Arabidopsis thaliana: one gene and its partner. The protein of the gene in region 2 interacts with the protein of the main gene of each other region in a pairwise test. Each region holds a gene or a part of one and is shown on either strand. Other genes may lie near its edges. The genes, in order: CYCT1;4 and CDKC2.

What was found.
Region 1: the proteins of CDKC2 (region 2) and CYCT1;4 interact in a protein complementation assay, tested with the Arabidopsis thaliana proteins (one study listed by BioGRID).

Annotation. Positions count from the first base shown.
Region 1 is NC_003075.7:10,670,763-10,677,453, reverse strand, and holds CYCT1;4 (Cyclin family protein), read right to left. Parts: upstream 4,690-6,691; 5' UTR 4,588-4,689; intron 4,086-4,587; 5' UTR 3,998-4,085; intron 3,856-3,997; 5' UTR 3,836-3,855; coding exon 3,609-3,835; intron 3,155-3,608; coding exon 3,073-3,154; intron 2,683-3,072; coding exon 2,548-2,682; intron 2,312-2,547; coding exon 2,136-2,311; intron 2,048-2,135; coding exon 1,896-2,047; intron 1,776-1,895; coding exon 922-1,775; 3' UTR 525-921; downstream 1-524. Other genes in the region: AT4G19590 (Chaperone DnaJ-domain superfamily protein), read right to left, coding at 5,164-6,288.
Region 2 is NC_003076.8:25,953,549-25,959,552, reverse strand, and holds CDKC2 (cyclin dependent kinase group C2), read right to left. Parts: upstream 4,180-6,004; 5' UTR 4,057-4,179; coding exon 3,944-4,056; intron 3,548-3,943; coding exon 3,466-3,547; exon of another isoform or gene 3,404-3,465; coding exon of another isoform or gene 3,368-3,403; coding exon 3,277-3,367; intron 3,172-3,276; coding exon 3,142-3,171; intron 3,029-3,141; coding exon 2,919-3,028; intron 2,828-2,918; coding exon 2,755-2,827; intron 2,673-2,754; coding exon 2,552-2,672; intron 2,445-2,551; coding exon 2,327-2,444; intron 2,229-2,326; coding exon 2,089-2,228; intron 1,996-2,088; coding exon 1,938-1,995; intron 1,855-1,937; coding exon 1,784-1,854; intron 1,661-1,783; coding exon 1,126-1,660; 3' UTR 748-1,125; coding exon of another isoform or gene 670-747; 3' UTR 662-669; intron 587-661; downstream 1-586. Other genes in the region: AT5G64970 (Mitochondrial substrate carrier family protein), read left to right, coding at 1-25, 113-580, 670-747; AT5G64950 (Mitochondrial transcription termination factor family protein), read right to left, coding at 4,491-5,666.

The DNA of each region.
Region 1 (6,691 bases), on a different chromosome or scaffold from region 2:
GAAAGCTGTATACTTAGAAAGGGAATCCGAAATTATGGTTAATAAGAGAAGAAAAGGATGAGTTTTTGTTGTATTGAAATGTTTGTAATGACTGTAGAGTGTCGGAACGATAGCCTAACGATTGAATAATCTGCCGCCGACGACAAGAGAGAGCAAGGAGAAGAAGAAGAAGAAGAAGAGAAGACGAGAGGGTTTTTAGGTCTTTTGTTGTTCCTTCTTTAGGTTGGCTTTTTTTGTGTTTTTGTGTTTGATAATGAATAAACCGAACCAAATCCAAAATTTTGAGCAACTTAACCGACTAAATCACACTGGACTAAACCCGAAAATTCAAACCGAGCGAATTAATTCAGACCTGTATTTATTTTTAAACCTGAAAATTTTGAAAACGAATTGAAAAAATGAAAACCCCTACAGCTCTTTTTCATGAGTCTTTTTTGCTCTTTAATTTGACAACTATTCCGCCTGATTTTGTGGTTAACCGGATTGGTCACCAAGCTAACCGATACATACGAAAAGCAGTATAATGACAATGGGAACAAGGTTACGAGTGGACTTAACATAAAACAAACCTTACAAAAACAACTACACATTGACAAATCAATTGACCACTCTGTTTCATATTGTTATTATCAAAACATCCTTCGGCAATGAATGACAAAACACTAATATTGTCTTGGCTCTAAATAAATTCGTCAAAATTCTTTTTTATTCCCCCGATATACAAAAGGGAATGCTAACAAAGATCAAAATTATAGAGACCCTAAATCCTATGGGATGGATGGAAACCTGATTTAGTTTCTCAACTGTTGAATACAAGTGCCAAGGAAAATGAAAAGATAACCAACATTGTAAATACAGTGGACTCATTTCGCATCATGGTTGGGAAATGTCTCTAATAGACCATGAGAAGGTTTTGATCATCTACCTCTCTTGGGAGTGTCTTCTTGGCTCTCTGTCACCATAACTATGACTACTTCCTCCTGGGTTTGTCTTCTGACCTTCTTCCACATTCTCACTGTTGTCGTGTCGTCTCTTTCCTTCTCCTAACTGTTTTTCACAAGGACTTTCCATTTTTCTCTTCCGGCTAGGCATTGTTGAAGAAACATCATCTATCATTTCACCTTCCTCGGTATTGACCACCAAGTTGTTTCCATCAAGAATCTCGCCATGTTCTGTACCCATGGAGCTTTTGTTTTGTATATCTTTGTCATCCTCAACAGCTAATTCCACGTCTTCCAGTTCTCTTTCTATCAAATCATCCTCATCCACCAAATCCTTCTTTCTCGTCTTTTCACCTTGGACCTTCTTCGCCTCTAGTTTGGCCTTCACCTTATCTCTAAACATTTTTATGTCTTTTGGGGATTGGCTGACCGTGACATCAGCTGTACCAACAATTCTAGATTTATCATCTTCTGGAAAATGTGCACCTGCTTTCTCTATTTTATCCTCCCCAGGTGCCTCAACTCCCGATCTAGACTTATGGGCTGGATGACTTTCAGTATGCATGCTATCTTTCGTTTCTGTATCTCTTTCCCCCTTCTGCTCGGTGATGACACTACCTGCCTCACCACTCCCATTATCATTGCTCCGGTTTTGTGTAGCTTTTGTCGAGCCCCCGAGATTATCAGAATTTGAATGTTCATGAGTTAGACGTGCTGATGGCCTAGACCCAACATGATGAGCTGATCCTCCACCTACACTACTTTCGACTTCGCTTACTTGAGATGCAGGAACACGGTTTTGCTCATAGAGCTCAAGCATTTGGTTGCTAACATCTGCAGTATACATAAGGGAGTAGCTCTTAGCATCAGATGCAAAATAAGGCATACAAGTCAAACAGAAAAAGTGGAAACAGTTTCATAAAATTAATTCAAAGATAAAGATAGTTCTCTCACCCTCTAGTTGTCGAGGTGTGACATCAAATTCTTGCCACCAGACCTTCTCTCCATCTGATGGTAATTTCACTTTAAGGAACTTCGCAGCAAGAAAAATTGCTCCCGCCGCAATGTGGTGAGGCTTAAATTGCAGGCAGAGTGACGTCCGCAGACTGCAAGCATCTTTTCATTGTATGAAGAAGAAAATACAAGACAGATAGATCTATCTGAAGCTTTCAAGGAAACAGACTTTTAACGTACCCATCGTTAACAAAATTCCATGCAACTTGGGCCAGAGCATTCTGTGCGACCTTAAATTTCTTTATCGCTTCTACAAGAGGCTTATAAGGATGATAAACATTGAAGTCAAATCCCAGCGTAGAAAGTACAATCTTTTCTCCATTTAGTATAAGCTCTTTTTGTTGCTCATATACTTCCTGCAAAAGTGAAATACGTTCAGTACAAAGAAGAGAAATAATAGAGACGGTGACCAGCACAGATGAGAGATCCAACGACAAGGACAATGATCATAGGAGGATTGTTCACAAACAAGTGCAATCCTGGGTTTAGTAGAAAACTTATGTCATAGTAAAATAGAATATGCGAGAAACAGTGCAAATTCGCTTATTACTAAACAGGAAACCGGATTAGAGAAAGTTTAGAATATTCAGACCTTTTGCTTGATTTTCTGTGCAGTAGTAGGATCCTTCTTGTGTATTATCTCATAGGAGACAACAATAACATCTTTTAACGGCCTAGGAGTTTCTTCCACTTTTCCCGCAAGGAACATGCAGACTGTAGCAATCGTCTGGGTGAGGAGGGAGGACAACATGGAAAAAGGACTCAGTAATAATCTTAATACTGTTCTGCGCTAGTTTCTAGAAGGATAAATATGGACAAAGAACTAGATGCATTAACCAAATAGACTAAGAGAACGCTTAATATTCATGGCAGGAATATTCGCGAGAAGTCAGTGTATATTCATCTAATGCATCAGCCGATTTGCTCTCTCTATATATATACAAAGGAAACTGGCAGAGACATGGAGACAATGAATATAAGCGGACGCAAGGAAAAGGAGCCATTTAATGCTTCAAATACATGCAAACAAAGATAGCAGCAGACTGGCTCGAACAACAAACAGTAGGCCCATGTATATAAGTATTCACAACGCCATGTGCAAAGAATATATACTCACCCTTCTGTCATTCCTAGCATGTGACTGGCGAATGAAGAATCGATGACAGAAGATAATTGCGGTAGCTATTGTAACCTGAGGACTGTATTAGAAAAATATATTAGCCGCGTTCATTGAGAGAGCCAAAAGTGAAAGCTATCAGTGCAAATGAAACCATGTCAATATGAAGATAAATTCAGAGTATTGTGTTCATCACTATATACTAAATTTCAGAAAGCCATTAAAGGACTATTGGGCCATACAACACAAGATGAACCCACAAGTTTCACCTTTTTGTTGCCAATAAGGCAATAACTCTGACTAGCTTATTCATGCTCTAATGACCTCTACGATATCAAGTTCTATAAATTTCAAAATTCGATCCTACAGAACCTAATGTAAGGGGATCAAGAATTCACTATAATACTATAAGCAAAATAGAGGCAATTATCATGGTAGGAGAAACTAGCATGTCCTAGACCAAGCTCGCAAGAAGTAATCAAATGGAAAATGCAATGTATAAAGCTGAAATATATAGGTCAGAAATTTATACTTACACTTTTAATCTCATGCCTAAATCCTGCAAAAATGTACAGTATGACTTGCGGAGGTATGTTTCCTTCTTTAAGTCAATACTATCCAACCTTGAAGGTGAATTTTCTTCAATTTCTTTTCTTCCAAAATACCAGCGGGCAACCTCGTCCTGCTTTTCATTGGAATTCCTGGAGTAAGATGAAACACCACTCTCACCGAATGAACAATCCCCAGCTAATACTCCAGCCATTGCTATCTTTCAAACACAGTCTAGCAAAAACAGAACCAATGAATGTAAGTTCATAAGAGGGATCAGCTTGGTTATTGAACTGATACTGTGAGCTAAAAAGGGTACAAATCTAAGAGATGTAGAAAAAAACTACTTTGCTTATCTATGAGCTGAGATTTATACCTGGTCACGTTGAGTTCCCAGCAAGAGGATAGTAATCTCTAGCGTCAAAACTTTAAAGTTGAGTAACAAATGTAAGCTCTTTAGGAATCTGAAAGCACAGGAATCATCAACAAGGTCAATGACGAAGAATTGAAATTCGGACTGAAAAAATTACTAATTGATGGAAAATCAAAACAATGGCATCAAAACAAACACCACATAGTCTAAATGAGAGTAAAAGGGGCCAAAATATGCAACATAAAGACATGAATCATGAAAACAAAAACATAATTGCTCCTTTCCCACGAAAATACTGTGAATAGAGAATCATGTAAACGAGTTGACCCTCCTTGTTCATAACTAAGCTCACGCATCCAGAAAAAAACAATAAAATCGAAAAATTTGATTGCCAAAGAGTTAAATTAGAGATAATCGAGTAATTCTCCATGGAAATTTAAACTCTTTTCACAGAAAAATCCGTCACAAACGAAGGAAAAAACGTACAATAGATCTGAGAGATGCAAAAGTTCGTGAAACTACCAAACCCGAGAAAACAAACGGAAAATAATACACCTAATCGGAAACATATAACAAAAACGATGATTACGCACCGGATTATGGCTTCTTCGATGGAGAATTGAAACTAAACGCGTGGAACAGCTGCGTTCGTCGAACCCTAACCCTAGGAGAAGAAACGCGAGAAAGGAAAGAACAAAAAAAAAAAAAAAGGGAGGAAGCAAGAAAAGAAAAAAAAAAAAGGGGGATTTTTAACGAATATCCCGATTTTCAAGTGATATATGATGACCCGAAGTAGGAGACTAAATCTTCTCCGTTAAAATATTTGGGGACAAAAGTAAAAACTTTTGAGAATGAAGGGACCGAAGAAGGAAATATTTAGTTAGTGGAAGTAAAATTTCTTCCAACAATTTAAGTGAACCCACTTTGATTAATTTGACTCACGTTGTTAAAGCACACATTGTTAACAAAAATAAAATAAAGCTTTGACATTTCAGATTCAACATTGAAGATGACAGGAAGAAGAACTAACCTGGTTCCACTGTACAAGATCCTAGTCTAGATGCAAAATATTCAAATATCATAATCATAAAATCATTGATTGTTAAACTTCTAAATGTCATAGTTCCTACTTCACTGTTAAACTTCTAATTATCTGTCCTCAGCTTACTTCACACCTTGATTTCACTACTTGACTCTGCATAGTTATCTGTCCTCAGCTTCTTAAAAACTCTCTCTTCTACTTTCAAATCAGAGTTTGCAATTCCTCTACCAGCTTCTTCTTCTGACTCCCTTACCTCTCTTTTCCCTCTTTCTTCTGCTTGATTTGCCACATTTCCACTGTTAAAGTAACTCATTCTTGATAAAGAAGAATCCCGTCGAAAACTAGAATCAAAATTAACATTTAGTGAAGAATCTCTATCACAAGAAGACGAAGCACCATTTGTGTTCTTGTTTGTTGCTTGTGGTGTTTCCTCTTTCTCAGTTGGTGTTTTTTCCTTCTCAGTTGGTGTTTTCTCTATCTCAGTTGCCTTAAAATTCCCACGGCAATTTCGGCAAAGTACGGTCTTGTTAAGATAATAAACCCTCACATACTCATATTGTGTCTCGCATTTGTTGCACATTGTCCAAAAGATAGAAACTTTGGAAGTGGGCTTTTTGCTTCTAGCTCTACCATTAGTACTTGCTTGATTTGGTGGTTGTTTAGGCTGGTTTGGTGGTTGTTTCGGCTCGTTTTGTGGTTGCTTCTGCTGGTTTGGTGGCTGTCTAGGCTGATTTGGTGGCTGCTTCTGCTGATCTGGTGGTTGTTTCTGCTGATTTGGTTGTTGTTTCGGCTGATTTGGTGGTTTCTTTGGAGGTTGTTTCTGCTTTCGACTCCTTTTCGGTTTAACTTCGTTCAACTTCCTCTTCTGATCATAAGCAATTCTCTTAACCTTATCAGATAACAAACACCAAGCAGCTAACACAAGCTTAAACGCACCCTCTGCGCCTTCACAATTGTTCTTGTCAGGATGAAGCAAAAGAGCTAGCCTCTTATACTGTTTCTTCACTACTTCCTCATCAGCCAAAGGATCAACACCAAGAATTCCATACCAATCAGATTCTCCTCCACTAATTGTATTTCCTGCTGAGATATACACATCGATCAACATCATCACTTGTCTTAAACCATCAAGTTTCGGATACAAATCCTGAGCCTTGTTAGCAAAAAGCTTAGCCCCGTTGTAATCATTCTCTGCAACTTTCCTCTTAGCAATATCCATTGCTCTTATAGCTTCCTCCTTGTTGCATTCCATATCTTTGTTGAACAAAGAATCCTTCAAACGATTTTGCACCTTGTCTCTATGGAAAACCAATTGGAGGAGCCAAAAGAAAAAGGATTAAGAAGGATGAAAAACAGAAGCAAAACCGTAAATGAAAATCACTAAGTTAGAAAAACAAGTCCTTAGCCACAGATCTCTGAATCTGAAGTTACTCTATCCAAAGCCACTACATAATTACACATAATCAATCACAATTTCACAAACAACAATCGAAGAATGGATAAAAACAATTCATAAAAAGAAGAATCTCGTGTAAACTAGTAAGTAACATCTTAATTATAGGCAAAACCATACATGCAAATCACCAAGTCAAAAGAACAAGCCCTAGATTTCTCAAGTTACTGTATATAAAGCAACAAAGTAATCGTACGAATTA
Region 2 (6,004 bases):
TTTGCTTTGTCTACCACTTGATACTGTAAGTGGAATCACAACAAAAACTTCATTGAGCTTCTTTTACCATTCTCTGGAGGTTCTTTAGCATTACTTTGGTTTTGAATTGCAGATAAGAACGGTTATGGTGGCACCCGGTGGAGAAGCATTAGGTGGTGTAGTTGGTGCATTCCGTCACATGATTCAAACTGAAGGTTTCTTTTCCCTATACAAAGGTCTTGTACCTTCACTTGTTAGTATGGCTCCATCGGGAGCTGTGTTCTACGGTGTCTATGATATTTTAAAATCAGCTTACCTTCATACACCGGAAGGTAAGAAACGGCTTGAACACATGAAGCAAGAAGGTGAAGAACTTAATGCTTTCGATCAACTCGAGCTTGGTCCCATGAGAACTTTGTTATATGGAGCAATCGCAGGGGCTTGCTCAGAAGCAGCAACATATCCGTTTGAAGTTGTGAGAAGGCGTTTACAAATGCAGTCACATGCTAAAAGGTTAAGCGCAGTGGCTACTTGTGTGAAGATCATTGAACAAGGAGGTGTTCCTGCTCTATATGCTGGCTTGATTCCCAGCTTATTGCAGGTTTGATTCCTTAATACTAGTCATAAATTAATCTCTTGAACCAGCTTATTGCAGGTTTTACAGCTTTGTGAATTATCTCACTATTGCAGGTTTTGCCTTCCGCGGCAATCAGTTACTTTGTTTACGAGTTCATGAAAGTTGTTCTGAAAGTAGAATCATCCGCATAAGACAATAAGCAATGAGAAATGACACAATTACTGCTGGAGCTGCTTCAGAGGAGAGTTTTTTCGTTTTCTTTTTGGGGTTTACACTGATTCGTGTAGTTTTTCCACACTTCATCGAAAACAGATAAGAGGTTGTGAAACGTTTTTTTGCAAGAAATAATAAGATTTGGGTAAAAATCCAATTTGGTTTCCTGTGTTCTGATATATAAACCTTGATTTAAACATACAACAATCACAGAATGTTTGGAAGAATGCCATTAAGACAAGAAATCAAATGAAAATAGATTCTCTTTCGCGAAGATAAGTCTTCATATCTAAAATCACAACTGCCTTAAAGACATCAAGCCAAGACCACACCATACGAGTCTCTTTGAGTTCTCTTTACGGTTGCCATCCATATTGTTGGTTTCTAGCACCACCCATAGGGTTCTGACCTCTTCCAGAGCCACCAGATCCACCATACTGACCACCACCTTGTGAGTAGTTGGGTGGTCCAACACCATAGCCACCGCTAGGTCCTCTAGGACCGGCGCCATATGGTGCACCACGACCTTGTGGAGGATATGCTCCGCTGCTGTAACCTCCACGGCTCTGATTATTATAACCACCAGTCTGGTTTCCGCTAGGAGGGTACCGGTTTGGAACAGGTGCACCACCACGGGGCTTTCCTCCATAGTAATGGCCACCAGCAGGTATTTGGGGTGGTGGTGCGTTGTTGTTCATAGGGTGGTTTGGTCCAGCAGGCCAAAGTGGAGCGGCATGAGACTGGCCAACACCGTGTTGCTGTGGAGGTAAACGAGAATGTTGCTGCTGTGGATGCTGCAGTTTCTGTTTTTTGGCTGCTTCCTCATTATGACGCATCTGTTGCCGTTTTTTCTTTGTCTGGAACTCATGTGATGATTCATATGTCGGTAGACTGTTGACATAACACAGTTTCAGTACAAGCTGAATCACTCACTAATTGTTCTTGATCGTCATTTGTGATGTATGATGAACCAAATGGGTTTTCATAACAAGAAAGTTAAGAGAATTTGATTACCTCTTTGGATCACATGGCAGCGGATCAGTCCAAAAGTACTCAGCATCAAGAGCATCCTTTGCGCATATTCTCTGTACCAACAGACAGGAAAATGAAAGGACTTAAATGTCTAGACCAAGGCTCTTAATTCTCTGTATTAAAAATTCTTTGGTACCTGAGATGGGTCAAGTACCAACATTTTCTCAAGTAGTTCAAGGGCATGGCGATCAAAGCTATAGCAGAAGAGAAAAGGACCAAATGAGATCTCCTGGATCAAAGTAACTGTTGCATAAAAGAGTCGCAACTACATAATGGTTTATACTTACTGTCTGTAGATCTCCCTTACGCGTCTCTTTAAGGGCCGAGATGATTTCATTTGGTTATACCAAGGCATCTTGGAAACTCCAGGCCAGTTGCTTTCATCAGGTGATCCACAAAGCTCATAAATCTTATTCAATTGTTCATTCTGGAAAGAAAAAAATATGACTAAAACGCTAAGTGGAAACATCATCAAAGAACACTGTAATAACACACACCACGATAATCATAAGATGAAATCCTGACCTCAGTTTTCCCAGGCAAGATTGGTTTTCCATTCAAAAGTTCAGCAAATATGCATCCAACTGACCACATGTCAATCGCTGGTCCATATTTAGTTGCACCAAGTAACAATTCAGGGGGCCTACAGCAATAAACAATGCATAAGTAGAGAAAAAGCTGCACGTATAAGCAATACTTATTCTTTGTCACTTTTTTGTATATAACTTCAAAGTTTGTAGGCATACATACCTATACCACAAAGTGATGACACGATTTGTGAGGTTTCCAGTATGATCATGAGAATATGACCGAGCAAGCCCAAAATCCGCTAGCTTTAAATTTCCCTCATTGTCAATAAGTAGATTCGAACCTGCACCAATATATTATAGGTTAACTAGCAAATAAAGACAAGAGAACAAAATGGTCAACAATGTATTTTGGGATATATTCACCTTTTATATCACGGTGAAGCACTTGATTCACATGACAATAGTGAAGCCCAGTCAGCAGTTGCTTCATGTAACACTTTTTTACATATGTTCAAATGTCAGACAAAGTCGGAACAATAAGGGTTTTTGCAAAGGCTACTACAACAAGGTGTCTAGCCATGCAATACCTTTATCTGAGGAACCGTAAATCTCAGTCCAGGACGATCAGCAAGTCCAGTCAAGTCATGATCCATGTACTCAAAGACCATGTAGATTCCACCCTTGTATTTGTTATTATCTAAAATTGAAGAAAAGCAACAAGCTTTAGGCCGTAAGCAGTTTAAATAGATCTCTCATAGTCGCATCTAAGTTGTACAGAAAATATTTCGATCTTGAATAAGTTTCACTAACCTGGCTTTCCTTGATCATCCCTATCTCGACCTTTTAAAGACAAAAACAGTCACAAAACTCTACATATCAAACTTAACACCCCTTTTGACAAAATTTCTAAAGCAATTACAAGCTAAGATAAGAGTTCCTTATTACCTGGAGAAGTAACAATCTCTTTCAAATGGATGACATTTTCATGATGCAGCTTCTTCAGAATTTTGATCTCCCGGATAGCGGTTATCGGAAACTCCATGCAAACAATGAAAACGGAAATATAAGTCATACGAAACTCACAAAAATTTGCAACTTGTCAAAGCTAGTACTGGTAGTTCAAATGTAGCTTACCCCTTCTCTTTCATTGTCCATACGGATCTTTTTCAGAGCCACGATTTCACCAGTTTTAATTTCTTTAGCCATGTACACTTGGCTGCAAAACCAAATTTTAATATATGAATCTAAACACCATCAAAAGAGACAGCTTCAGAAGTTTATTGCAACATATATATATATATATATATATATATATATATATATATATCTACCATACCAAGAATCTGAGAATTCCCAAATTCAATCAACAAAATCGAATTTATTGAGATAAGAGGCAAAGTTAAAATTCCTCAAATCAACAATATATGGATCAATAACTATATATAAACGTTTCACAATCAAAATTGTTTCAAAAAAACTTATATATCAAGTGGCCCTAGCGAAATCGTTCAAATTTGAGAAATTTCAGTCTTGAGCACGAGTACTCTGACAAAACCAAATAAATTGGAATCAAGGAACAAAACCCAGAAAAAAAAAGAATGGAGAAGAATACCCGTAAGTTCCTTCACCAATCTGTTCAAGCTTCTCGAAGCAATCGACACTACGAGATCCCCAAATCGGTGGAGGCTCCTCTAGATTTAACTGCCCAAAAGCCGCAGCCGCCATTATTCAACCGAATCTGAAAATTACCGAAGAATTCTGCAGCTTCGCCCTTGTCGCTCCTCTTCTCGCCTTCTTCTCTCCGGCTATTCTAAGGTTTTAGCCCTACCTTACAGTGTCGGCTTCGCGGAAAAACCTAAGCTTTTTTATCCGGAATCAATCTCTGGTTTAAACCGGTTATTACAACGAACCAAAATCAAACCGGTTAAATTCATGAGTCAAATTTTTAAGACGCTTTGACAATCTTGAGTTTTTGCTCAAGTGCTGAAATAGAAAAAGAATCGCTTCATATGAATCCCATTATTATATGAGAAGCTTCAAGCTCGTAATAAAGGGTGATTTAAGAGTTACTTCCAAATTATAATGTTCAACACAGTTACGGATGAGCGAAGTTTGGATACAATGACAAAATTTCAAGTTTGGACTTGTGAAATCTACAATTAGATCTTGATACGATCAAGTAGCGTTTCATCGACTAAACACACGCACTTGTAAGCAACCAGCAGTTCCTCAGCAATCTCATCTCCAAATCTCACAACATATTTCTCTAGAAAAGCTTCCTCAGTCATCTCAACAATGCCAACCATGTTCTTCTTCTTCTTCTCCTCTTTTAACAACAACCCTTTTTCCCTCAAGATCTGCAAAACTTTAAGCCTAGGAATCACCCTCTTCTCAAGATTATACGACAACACACAAGGACGTTTCGCCAAAGCTTCCCTCTCTAACCCCATTCTCTTCAAGTAAAACTCAAACCCCAGTGTAAGCTTATCTTCTGAGCACCGGATCAAACCTGGAGATCTTCGTATAATATCTGTTATCTCATCTTCAGAGAATCCATTAGCCATAAACAACTTAACCTTTCGATCAAACGTTTTCTCGCTCAAAGAACTTAACGAGATAACAGCGTGCACAAGCATCCTCGAGTTCAAAGTAAAACCAAGATCCAAAGCACGAGAGACATATCCTCTGAGTTTTTCCTCAGAGAGATTGAAGATTCTTGGCTGTCTTCTAAGTAAAGAAGCAAGCTGAGACCCAACAATTCCACAGGTTTCAAGGTATGAGATGTTTGGTAAGAGAAACAAGTTAGGGTCTCTACTGAGAAGAAGCCAACCACATCTACTAAGAATGACAGGAAGGTCTTCATGTTTTGGGGCAACAATCGATTTCAGAATCTCAACGGTAGGAATCAATTTCTTCACTAGACTTACACCAACGACTGATGAGTTTTGAGAGACGAACTTACCAAGACCAGAGCCAGTAAATCCAATATCTTTAAAGAATCGAAGTTTGGGTTCTAGAATTTTCTCCACGTTGTAGAACATCATTCGAGGATGGACCCGGATCGATTTCTGGATCTGGGTATCGGAAAAACTGTAACTTTTAAGCATTTGAATCACTGACCGAGGTTGTTCTAGGGATTTGAGGTTAGGGTAACGCATTGCGATGGCAATTGCTAGAGGTTTCTGGAACCCATTGTCCCTGAGAAACTCGACGAACGCTGGATTTGATATCGAAGCTGGTGTCGCATTCGAAGAGAAATGATGCAACGAGAGAGCTCGATCCCATCTCCGACCAAACTTTCTGGAATTGGAAACGAGAGAAGCTAGAAATTGCATCTTGGAAACGAAAGTTTAGGGTTTTACCAAAGCTTATTATTTTGTACAGTTAAGAATCATTCATGACTTTTCAACTATGGTTTCTATTTGATAAGATTAATTTATTTGAGATACAGTATTCAAAATATTACTAAAACAGAGATGAGTCTAGTGAGTAGCTGAGTACAATGAGTATATTTATACGAAAAAGTTCCTAATTTCTAAATCTCTCTATACACAAGCAATACATGTGGCTCATGACCACTCTGTTGATGAACAACCAGAGTCTCCTCTCCAAAAATTATTATCGAACTTTAAGAAGACAGAGATGAGAGAGTGGTGGTGGTTTGACTAGTTGA